3 linked regions of the Lonchura striata genome follow. The protein of the gene in region 3 interacts with the protein of the main gene of each other region in a pairwise test. Links are inferred from orthologs where the notes say so. Each region holds a gene or a part of one and is shown on either strand. Other genes may lie near its edges. The genes, in order: SPRY1, GRN and OTX1.

Evidence for each region.
Region 1: the proteins of OTX1 (region 3) and SPRY1 interact in binary tests that used the Homo sapiens proteins (3 or more experiments, as listed by UniProt). The two-hybrid records come from large-scale screens. The link is inferred for Lonchura striata from reciprocal best matches to the Homo sapiens genes OTX1 and SPRY1.
Region 2: the proteins of OTX1 (region 3) and GRN interact in binary tests that used the Homo sapiens proteins (3 or more experiments, as listed by UniProt). The two-hybrid records come from large-scale screens. The link is inferred for Lonchura striata from reciprocal best matches to the Homo sapiens genes OTX1 and GRN.

What each region holds. Positions count from the first base shown.
Region 1 is NC_134606.1:69,052,819-69,056,558, reverse strand, and holds the start of SPRY1 (protein sprouty homolog 1), read left to right. Parts: upstream 1-1,340; 5' UTR 1,341-1,476; intron 1,477-3,251; exon of another isoform or gene 3,252-3,295; intron 3,296-3,620; exon of another isoform or gene 3,621-3,632; intron 3,633-3,740. UniProt on the Homo sapiens protein: Inhibits fibroblast growth factor (FGF)-induced retinal lens fiber differentiation, probably by inhibiting FGF-mediated phosphorylation of ERK1/2. Inhibits TGFB-induced epithelial-to-mesenchymal transition in lens epithelial cells.
Region 2 is NC_134627.1:2,570,821-2,574,560, reverse strand, and holds the start of GRN (progranulin), read right to left. Parts: upstream 2,459-3,740; 5' UTR 2,376-2,458; intron 2,370-2,375; exon of another isoform or gene 2,252-2,369; intron 1,589-2,251; 5' UTR 1,575-1,588; coding exon 1,485-1,574; intron 1,413-1,484; coding exon 1,341-1,412; intron 1,243-1,340; coding exon 1,158-1,242; intron 1,072-1,157; coding exon 968-1,071; intron 886-967; coding exon 738-885; intron 612-737; coding exon 505-611; intron 1-504. UniProt on the Homo sapiens protein: Secreted protein that acts as a key regulator of lysosomal function and as a growth factor involved in inflammation, wound healing and cell proliferation. Regulates protein trafficking to lysosomes, and also the activity of lysosomal enzymes.
Region 3 is NC_134605.1:870,927-874,666, forward strand, and holds the start of OTX1 (homeobox protein OTX1), read left to right. Parts: upstream 1-1,312; coding exon 1,313-1,409; intron 1,410-1,920; coding exon 1,921-2,072; intron 2,073-2,719; coding exon 2,720-3,475; 3' UTR 3,476-3,740. UniProt on the Homo sapiens protein: Probably plays a role in the development of the brain and the sense organs. Can bind to the BCD target sequence (BTS): 5'-TCTAATCCC-3'.

The sequences.
Region 1 (3,740 bases), on a different chromosome or scaffold from region 3:
ACTATATTCTAGTATTCAGTACAGAACCTCTAATGCATGCAAATTTTATTTCATATAGAAATAGGTGGTTCAGGTAAAGGTTGTGCATAATGATGAAAATTTCAAAAATGAAATGAAAGCTTAGTGAAGTTTAATGAAAAACCACTGTGCTGCTTCCACAAGTGTGAGCTGGGTGTGCAGACTGTCACAGAGTACCACCTTTGTGGTACAATCCTGTTTGTAGGGATTGTTTGCTTTTGGATGTATGTTCCTGCTAAGCAGCTCCACATATCCTTAGCACATACTTCTTTTCTTTGGGGCAAAAGGTGGGAGAAGTTTTGTTTTTGGTTTTTTTTTTTTTTTTTTTTTTTTTTTTTTTTTTTTTTGGTGAAAGAGATTGTTAGTATGGTTCAGATAAACTTAAGGCTGAGTGGTGTTTAGCCAAGTACTGGAAGTCTCAACTATTCCAATACCTTACATGTTGTTATGAGAATTTGGATGTGCTTCATATCACTTTCCTGTTCTTTTGGTGGCCTAAATACTCTAAAATATTCTAAATATTAGAATACTCACTGAGAAAAACCAAACCCCCAAAAATCTTACGTCAAATGTAATATCTGGCCATAAAACTACTGACTTGGAAAGCATCCCTGTATCTCCTTGGCATCATGGCAGGGATGCAGTCGTGACCTTTAGATCGGACCTTGCCGAGGCAGGGCTGGAAAGGTGGGAGACAAGACAGCCAGGTCGATAACCAGTATCATCTCTGCTGCAGTGACAGCCGATGGGAAGAGCCTCTTCCTATCTCATGGCAGGATGGCGAGAGGGAGTGCTTTTCTCGGGTCCTCAGCCGCCTCCGCAATAGCCTGAAAGAAGCAGAAAATACCTTGTGAATATAAACGAAGGGCTGTTCCACCTGGCTTGAAGGGCGCAGACGGCAAAACGCAGAGAGGAATCTCTCTGTAACTCTGTCAGAGGAGCGTGGCAGAACTTCAGCCCTTCAGCAGAGCCCTGTGCCCGCCGGTGCCGCGGCAGCTCCGTGAGCTCTGCCCGCCCGGCCGAGCGCAGGCGGGGGCAGCGTGTGCGAGCCGGGCAGCTCCGAGCTCCGCCGGGCCGAGCCCGCGGGGCGCTCCCTCTGCCGGCGGGGCCTCGGGGCCGGGAGGAGCCGCGGCCGCGGGACAGCGCGGGGCCGGGGCCGGAGAGGGGCAGGTCCTCCCTCCTTCCCTCCTCAATTCCCTCCCTTCTTCTGTCCCTGGCGGCCCGCGGGAGCGGCTCCCGGCGGGAGGGCGGGGAATCCACGCCGGGATTTCGGAGGCACACTGACATCAGGGGGGCGCGGCCGGCGGCGGGCGGGGGCTGCGCGCTGAAAGGCGGCGAGGCGCGGCCCGAGTCACTCCGGAACGGCGGCGGGGCAGCGCGGAGCGGCTGCCGGCACTGCCCGGGCTGGATCCGCGCCGCCAATGTGCCGCGGGAGGCGGGCGCTCACCCCGGCCCTAGGTAAGCCCGGGCGGCGCTCGCCGCGCCGCACACCCACCTCCCGCCGGGTCAGGTGCGGGCGGGCGGCCGGGGCTCCCCGCGCCGCGCTGGGGGCGGCCGCGCTGCGAGGCGTGCGGGAGGTGCGGGCGAGCCGCGCTCGCTGCTCCGCGGGGCACCGGGCGGGAGAACCGGGGCTCGGCTCCCCGGGCCGGCAGCGCTGAGTTGGGCGCGATTCGCTGCTCACAGAGAAGCTCCGGGTCGGTACTCGCCCGTCCCGCCCGACGCGGGGTCTCCGGCGCGTCGGAGCTCTGCGCGACCCTCTCGAGCCTGCGGAGACCTCGGTGCCAGACTGCGGCGTGCGGGGTCGCCCCTCCCCGCCGCGTCCTGCCCCTGCCCCGAGCCTGTCACTCGGCCCCCGGCAGCGACAGCCAGCACATGGCTGTGTGCGGCGAGCTCGCAGGGCCATTGCATTGCGCTGCCTCTGGCTTCGTTCGCAGTTCGCTGAGTTCTGCCTGGAGAGCTAGAGCCGCTTCTTGATCGCTTTAGAAAGAAAATAAAAAATCAAAACGAAAAAAAGCAAAAACCCAACCGAATCTTTCGCACCAGAGGTTGTGGTTGCACTTTGCCAGACGGGACTTGCGGCAAGGACCATGCGGTGAAGCCGAGCGCCGGAGCGGGACCGCAGCCCTGCACTCTGCGATCGCAAAGGGAAATAACAAACAACCGGAGCAGGAGCCGCGCACCCGCCGCCTTTTCACAGAGACCAGCATCGCAACAGCCCCGCTGCCTGCCGCAGCCTGCAGCCGCCTGAGGCTCCATCCAGATACTCCGCTTTGCAGGAAGGGCTGGATTTGCTCCCCGTCGCCTCCGGACCGAGAGAGCCGTGGCCGAAGGAGAGCGCCGCTTCCACGGGCGGCCGGGGCCGCTGCATGCTGACCCCGGGAGAGGGGAGCTGAGGTGGGCAGGAGAGCGGGGCTCTTCTCTGCTGGCCTAGTAGGACGTGGAGATCGGCGAGCGAGGGCTGCGCGGGGACTAGGAGCGCAGCCCGCCGGCCCTCCCCTCCCCGGGGGCCGGGAGAGCGAGGAGCCGAGGCCCCGCCGCCCCCCGCCCGCTGGATTTGCCGTTCCCGGTGGCTGCCTGCACACCCGTAAGTTGGGACCCGCCGTGCACTCACTCGCGGGGCCGGCGCTGCCGCAGCGAGCAGGTGCCGCGGGGCGCTGCGGCGCCCGCCCGGTGAGGGGCGGCCCCGACCACCCTCCCACCGTCCCCCTCCCGGAATGGAGGCACCGGGCTGCTGCGGGAAGGTTTACTGGGGATCGTGGCCGGCTGCGAACGAGCAGAACGTCAAAAACATCCCCCAGACGCTCCTCGCAGGTGGGGGCTGGAGGGGCTGAGGCGGAGGGTGCCGAGCCGCAGCGCGGGGCTGAGCGGCCGCTCGGCTGCCGCTTTAAGCGCCAGGTAATCTGCTCTCCCGAGGCAGCGCCGGGCTAAGATCTGCCTTCCTCTGGGGAAGAGAGAGAGAAGGAGAGAAAGAAAGGGAAAAAAAAACAACAACTATGTTTTCATTCATAACTTTTTTTTCTTCCCCTTTTCCCCTCCTCTTCCTTCCTCTCCGTCAGCGCCGTGATCCGCTCCGCTCCGCTCGGGGCGCAGAGGGCGCCGCGCCGCCGCCGCCCGCCCGGGGCTGCGGGGAGCGGGGCGGAGCAGGGCGGGACGGGGGCGCTGGCGGCGTGTCCGAGCGGGTGTGGAGAAGGGGAGGGAAGCGGGATCCCACCCCCGACGGGCGGGGAGGGAGCGCAGCCCCGGGTGCAGAACCGTGAGGGCTCTCGCCGCCTGCATCGTACGTTATTTTATTATTTTGTTTTACTAATTTTTCTTTTATTGTCCGGGGGGAGAAGCAGTTTACGAGCGATCTGCGCGGGGGTGGAGGTGGCTGTTCAACTCTCGCCCCGGTCTGCAGCTGGGCTTGTCAGTCTGCGCCGCGTTGATGTTGCGCTTTCCCCCCAAAGATGGCACTGGACGTCTTTGCATTTTCTTGGGATATTGTTTTTCATCCCCTAGGGAGCCCAGCTCCTGACTGGTACAGCTGTAAATCTTTCCCTTTTCGCATTCATTCAGCCTTGGTCTGTTGTGGATTTGTATTCAGTGCTCATGAAGAAGGCTGCTTCTTGTGTGGGGTAGGAGGAAATTCTTTGCTGGAGGGTGGTGAGGCACTGGCACAGGAAAAGGCTGTGAATGCCCCATCCCTGGAAGTGTCCAAGGCCAGGTTGGATGGAGCTCTGAGC
Region 2 (3,740 bases), on a different chromosome or scaffold from region 3:
GGGGAGAGATATGGGGTGACAGGGGCCCTGGGGACAAGGACAGGGTGTGCACAGCACGTGGGGCAGTGCAGGGTGCCTGGTATGGGGACATGGCACAGGTTGGGGTGCCCAGGGCCCAGTGTCCACCACAGGATGCCCAACAAGGTGTGTCTGGTGTAGGATGATTGGGACAGGCTGCCCAAAATAGGGTGCTTGGCATCACTGTAGGGTGCTTGGAATTGGGATGTCCAGAATGGGGTGCCTGCATGGATGGGTACAGGATGAGTGACGTGTGTTGGGGTGTGGGGTGCTGGTTTGGAGTGCCCAGTGAGGGGTGGCTGGATTGGGGTGCCTGGCACAGGAGTGCTTGGTTTGGGGTGCCTGGTGGAGGATGGCTAGGATTTGGTGTCTGGCATGGGGTGCTTGTTTTGGGGTGTTCAGTGGGGGGTGGGGGGTTTGGGGTGCTGGGCACAGATTTGGCACAGCTGCCCATCCCAGGGTGCCCAGGGCTGTGCCAGCACTCACGTTCTGCAGGGGACAGCAGCCGTACTGCCCTGGGGACAGCTGGCAGCAGGTGGCCCCATCGGGACACGCCGAGCGGCCATCGGGACACAGCACCTGGCGCAGCGCCACTGGGGGGACACACGGTGTCACCACGTCCCCTCCCCTGGCACAGCGCCACTGGGGGGACACACGGTGTCACCGCGTCCCCTCCGAGGGCCCGGCACAGTGAGGGCACCCCCGGGCACACCCCTTACCTGGGGCAGGGGGCAGGCGCTTCCAGGCGGGGAAGGCTGTGCCCAAGGGGATGTCGGTGTCACCGGCGGGGGACACACAGCGCCCGCGGGCCAGGTCGCAGATGGTGGCGTGGGGACAGCAGTGCACCTTGTCAGCACAGCACGAGGCCTGCGGGTGCCAGCCATGCTCGTCACAGCGACGGCCGTGCCAGGCCCCCCCCTCAGCGTCCCCGTGTCCCCACACCCCGTACCTGGGGCATGGGGCAGCACCCCCAGGCGCCGCTGCCCGTCACACAGCACGTGGCATCATCGGGACACTCGGACTGGCCGTCAGGACAGGGGACAGCACGGGGGGCTGCGGAGACAGGTGAGGCACCCCCGTGTCCATCCTGTCCCCTTGAGGCCCACCCTGACCCCCGCCACCCCCCCGTGTCCCTGTACCTGGGTCTGTGACACAGGACTCCCCATCAGTGCTGCAGCGGGACCCTCGGGGACAGCAGCGGTGGCCCCCGGCACAGGGGACACTCTGGGGAGAGAGAAGGGGGAAGGAGCGCAGGGGGGTCAGGGAGTGCCCCCCAAACGGCAGGGACAGGGGGAAACTGAGGCACAGGGGAGGGGGCTCACCTCTGGCAGCTGGCAGTTGGCGGGGCAGGATGAGCGGTCCTGGCACCCCATTGCACTGCGGGCAGGCAGGGCCTGGGGGGGCATAGGAGGGGTTATCATCCCCTGCTGAGGCCCCTCCGATCCCCCCAAACTCCGTGCACTCACCGGGGTGATGGGGCAGGGTCCCCCCTGGGGACAGGGCAGCTGGGCCCCCGCGCTGGCCAGGGCCACCCACAGCAGCAGGAGGGTCCTCATGGCTCTGGGGGCACCTGCAGGAACCCCCCGGCCTCAGTTTCCCTTCTCACTGTGCGGGCAGGCAGTTCTCAACTTCTTCTTTCAGCCATGTGTTGGGAAAGCCCCATCCCCCCCTTCAGCCAGCTCCCCCACCCCGGGGTGCTGGGGGCACCCACGGAGAGCGGGACACCCTGCGGTGTGTGGCACCCCAACCGCGCCCCGATAACATCTCCCTGCGGTGCCGGACGGGCCCGTCCCACAATCACGGTCACGGTCACGGTCACGGTCACTTTCACTTCCCTTTCCCCGCTGCGGGCACCTCCCGCCCCGCCCAGCGCGGCCACGGGGGCTGTGTCCCATGGGGGGCTCGGGGGGACCCCGGTGTCACTGCACCCCCACCCCTGCGACCCCCCCCGGGCAGGGCTGGGCTGACCCCCGACATCGCCCAGCAGCAGAGCCGGGGCTCCCAGTGCTCCCAGTAACTGCAGTACCCCCAGTGCTCCCAGTAACCACAGTGCTCCCAGTGCTCCCAGTATCCCCAGTGCTCCCAGTAACGCCAGTGCTCCCAGGGCTCCCAGTACCCCCAGTGCTCTCCCATGACTCCCAGGACCTCCCGGTGGATCTCAGTGCTGCCCCATGATTCCCAGTGCCTCCTAGTTCCTCCCGTGACTCCCAGTTCCTCCCAAAGCTCCCAGCACCTCCCAGTCGTCCGTATGACTCCCAGTAGCCCTAGTGTCTCCCAGTGGCCCCCGTGACTCTCAGTTCCTCCCGAGACTCCCAGTTCCTCCTGGCAGCTCCCAGTGCTCCAAGTGCTCCCGGTACCTCCCGGCTATGCCCGTGTGTCCCAGCGCTCCCGGTCCCCACCAGCGCTCCCGGTCCCGGCCGCAAGCCCCCCCCACCGCTGGCCGCAAGCCCCGCCCCCACCGCCCATTGGCCGCCCGCCGCACCCGCCGCGCTGCCATTGGCCAGCCCGGGGTGAGGGGGCGGGCACGGCGGCCGCCTCACACCGCCACGTGACGGGCGGTCACGTGCCAGCCCCCCCCCCCCTCCGACCCCCTGGGGCTGAGGGCGGCGAGAGCGGGGGGGGCTCGGCCTGAGGGAGCGGGAGCGGGGCGGCGACCCCGCAGACCGCCCTGCCCGGGACACGGACCCACAGAGACCCCGCAGACCGCCCTGCCCGGGACACACACGGACCCACAGACCGCCCTGCCCGGGGCACGGACCCCTCTGTCTGCAGCCTGGAGCACTCCTGTGTGAGCCCCAGTTCCCCTCTCACAGGCAGAGACACCACGAGGGCACAGACCCCTCATCAGGGCACAGAGCCCATCAGGGGCACAGAGCCCACCAGGGGCACAGAGCCCATCAGGGGCACAGACCCCTCATCAGGGCACAGAGCCCATCAGGGGCACAGAGCCTACCAGGGGCACAGAGCCCATCAGGGGCACAGATCCCCCTGCCCGGGTCTCAGGGTTTTGCCCCTTGGTGTCTTGGAGCTCTCCAGACCTCGCTCCCAGGGCAGGCAGTAGCCCCAGTGCCTCCCAGGCCCCCAAATCCTCCCCAACCCTGCAAATTTCCGTCAACCCCCTCCAGTCCTCCCCAACATCCCCAACCTTCCCAAAACTCCAATCTTTGCCCCCCAACTCCCCCATCCTCCCTGCCAATGCCCACAAGTGGCCCTAAATCCTCTCCAAGTCCCCTCCAAGCCCCTGTGCCCCAAAGACCACTTCAACCTCTCCAACCCTTCCCAAAACTTCTAACCTTCCTTTCCAAGTCTTTCCCACCCCCTCCAAGCTCCCCTAAATCCCCTCCAATGCCAATGCCCCTCCAAACCCCCTCCACCTCCCCAAACCCCTCTTCCAACCGATCCTAAACATTCCCTTAACTCCCATTTCCCCTCCTACACCAACTCCCTCATTTGCCTCCAAGTCCCCCAAATGACCCCCGTCCCAGGAAATTCACTCCAAAACCTCTTCCACTCTGACACCCCCTAAACCTTAAAATCCCCTCAACTTCTTCAACTTCCTCCAAACCCTTCATAAACTCCAAACCTCCCTTTCCAACACCCCAAATCCCCTGCAAACCCCTAAACCCCCTCTGATCTTCCCAACCCTTCCAAATCCCTTTCAGCCCATGCCAACCTCCCTCCACACTCCCTTCCCAGCCCCCAGCGTCTCCTTAGACCCCCAA
Region 3 (3,740 bases):
CGCGGCCGCCGGGCGGGCGCTCAGTCGCTCCGCAGGTGGCCGCGCAGGTGAGGCGGGCGGGGGCGGTGGGCACCGCGCTCACCGACGGGGCGGGCGGCGGCGCCGGGACGGAGCGTAGCGGGCCCGCGGCGCCGTGGGCAGGGGTGGTGAGGGCGGCCGGGCCGGGGCTGCCTCGGGATTTTTTTTTTTTTCCTTCCCTCTCTTCTCTTCACTTTTATTCTCCTCCTCTTCCCCGTTCTCTCCTGCCGGGACGGGCCCGCTCCGCCGCGTCCCCGACAAAGTTATGCAACGCCGGGTCCCGGCTCCGCCACCCGACCTGCGCCCGGCGCCGGCCTACGGGGGGCCCCGCGACCCCCGCCCGGCATCCCCCGCCCCGCGGCCCGGGTGCCCCATCGCCCCGGCTGGGGGGAGTCGTGTCAGAGAGCGGGGGCTGCCCCCGGGGCTCGACGGGGCCGCCCGGGGTCTCTCGGCTCCTTCCTCCCCTGCGCGGGTATCCGCGGCATTTTGCCCCGGGCCGGGCGCTGCCGGGTCTCCGGTGCCGCGTCCCCCGCCGGCCCGTCCCGGCTGCCCGCGCTGTCGCCGCTCGGCTGCCGGCGCGCTCTTTTTTCCTTTTCCCCTTTTTAACTCTTATCCATTTCTAATTAAAACGTCCCCGTCTGCTCGCTTTTAAATTAATTATACTTCCCTCCTCTGATACCTCCTTTTGATTCCTAATCCAATTATCTTTTTAAATAATTGCTTTATCTGTCCCGATCGCCGGGCACTGTTGCCTCTCGGCACTTGCGCGCGACTCGCCTTCGTTTAAAATAAAATAATAATAAAATTAACAATCGGAAGCCGCCCGCGCGGAGCCCCCGCGCCGGGCGGGCGCAGCCCCGCGGGAGCCCCGGGCGGCCGAAGCCTCACCCGCTTCTCTCCGCTCTCTCCCCAGGCGCTCCGGCCTCGCCTCTGCGCGGGGAAGAAATCCGCCTGCTTCTCGATCCTCGTTGTTATTTTGATTTTATTTTTCCCCTTCGTTTTTATTTTTCTCTCACTTCACCTGCTATCTCTCGAGGACCTCGTGGCGGTGACGGCAGGACTGAACGAAAAAAACTCTTTTCACGCCGACTTTGTGCTCCGTTTTAAAATTGTCGTTGGCTTTAATTTTTTTTTTTTTTTGGTCTCTTATTTGGGGATTTTTTCGGGGGCTCTTTTTGTCAGTTTTTTTTTTTTTTTTTCTTTCATTTCCCCCTTCCCCACCGCATACATTCGATTTGATTTTTGATTTTTTTTTTCCTGCTGGACTTTGGAGGAAAACTGCCCGGCTTCTAGCATGATGTCTTACCTCAAACAGCCCCCTTACGGCATGAACGGGCTGGGGCTGACGGGCCCGGCCATGGACCTGCTGCATCCCTCCGTGGGGTATCCGGGTGAGTGCCGCGCACCGCGGCCCCCCAGTCCCCCACCCTCCAGCCAGCGGAGGGGGAAAACTTCCATCCGTGCGGGTTTGGAGGAGCTGGTGGGGCCGCACGGCTCAGGGTGGGTGGTGGGCTGGTTGTTTGCCTGCACCCCTGCCTGGGGACATTGGGGTCTAGCTGGATTTTCCCCCTGCTCCCGGGATGTCTTCGTTTTCCCAGGGATTTTTAAGGATAAAAAACTTTCAGATTGAACAATAACAACACAAAAAAGTAATTAATTTCGACACAACGAAATCTCGCCGTGGCTCCCTCTGGAGCCAGGCCTGACCCTTGCCCAGCCCTGCGCCCCTCGCCCTGCCGGCAGCGGGACGCGCTGCGGCAGCCGGGGGTGTGCGGGGACGCTGCCGCTCTTCGGGAGCGCCTCCAGCCCTTGTCCCGGGGACGCCGGGGCTCCCCCGTGCCGGGGCGTGCGGGAGGTGCGGGGGGGCCCGGCGTGACCCCCGTGGTGGTGCTCCTCCCGCAGCCACCCCGCGGAAGCAGCGGCGGGAGCGCACCACCTTCACCCGCTCGCAGCTGGACGTGCTGGAGGCGCTCTTTGCCAAGACCCGCTACCCGGACATCTTCATGCGGGAGGAGGTCGCCCTGAAGATCAACCTGCCCGAATCCCGAGTCCAGGTACCGGGCCTGCGGGGGGAATCCTGCACCGCTGTGGGATGGGGATGCAGGACCACCCCAGCTCAGCTGGCGCTGCTCAGACCGGCTGCTCCATCCACACTCATCCTCTTTCCTTGGGATGGGGATGTGTGTGGGCTCCCATCTGCTCGTCTGTCCCACTGTGGGCACATTCAGCCAAAGAGGGAGCGTTTATTTTTTATTCTCTTGTATTATTTTTATTAATATATTTTCTGTCACCGTCCACCTGCTCCAGGGTATAGCAGCCCTACCAGCTGGGTGCTTCCCAGAGGAATTCCCTTTGGGCACTGCTCAGTGGATACCCAGGAGGGCAGGATATGCAGGCAGCCCCCAACACAGGATCTGTCCCCCAAATCCATATTTTGTCACTGTGCCAGGGATATGCACGAGCTGGGACACCACAGACTTTGACCCTGGCCACCCTTGCTTTTGGCAGGCTGTGGGGTGCCCGGGTTGCCGGGCAGGGGTGGGATGTGGGATTGTATTTAGGGGTGTGAGGGGTGCGCAGCGTTAGTGGTACCGGGAGAACTGGTGCCAGGCTGAGGGTGGTTGGCCGAGGAGGCCCTTCGGGGCTGTTCGCTCACCCCACCGTGCTCCTTGCTCCCCTGCGCCCCGTTTTGTCCCTGCAGGTCTGGTTCAAGAACCGCCGCGCCAAGTGCCGGCAGCAGCAGCAGAGCGGCGGCGGGGCCAAGAGCCGCCCGGCCAAGAAGAAATCCTCGCCCGCCCGGGAGAGCTCGGGCTCGGAGAGCAGCGGGCAGTTCACGCCGCCGGCAGCGGCCTCCAGCTCCGCCTCGTCTTCCTCCTCCAGCTCGGCCTCCTCGGCGCCGGTGGGCGCCCCGGCCTCTCTCAGCACGCCGGCGTCATCCATCTGGAGCCCCGCTTCCATCTCCCCGGGCGCGGCGCCCGCGGGGGTGACGGTGCCCGAGCCGCTGCCGCCGGCCGCCGCCTCCTGCATGCAGCGGGCCGGCCCCGCCGCCTCGGCCGCCTCCGCCTCCTACCCCGTGTCCTACAGCCAGGGCGGCGGCTACGGCCAGGGCTACCCCGCGCCGCCCTCCTCGTCCTACTTCGGGGGCGTGGATTGCAGCTCCTACCTGGCGCCCATGCACTCCCACCACCATCCCCACCAGCTCAGCCCCATGGGGCCCTCCTCGGTGCCGGGCCACCACCACCACCACCCGCTGAGCCAGAGCTCGGGCCACCACCACCATCACCACCACCACCACCACCACCAAGGCTACGGCGGCACGGGGCTGCCCTTCAACTCCTCCGACTGCCTGGACTACAAGGAGCCCGCCGCCGCCGCCGCCTCCTGGAAGCTCAACTTCAACTCCCCCGACTGCCTTGACTACAAGGACCAGGCGTCCTGGCGCTTCCAGGTCTTGTGAGGGACCGGCCACCATCCCCCCGAAGCTGCCGCTGGTCCCCCACGCGGGGACTCCCCACCGCCTCCCGGGCAGGACTCTGGGCTCTTCCTCCTCCTCCTCCTCCCTCTTCGTTAGCAGTGGCGATGTCCTGGGGAGGTCCTGCCGCCCCCATCTCTACTGACTGATATTTATTTGCTTCCTGCACCACTCCACCAGGTTTATTATAATTATTATTTTTTTAAACGCAACAGAAGAGGAGTTAAAAAAAAAAAAAAAAAGAAAAGAA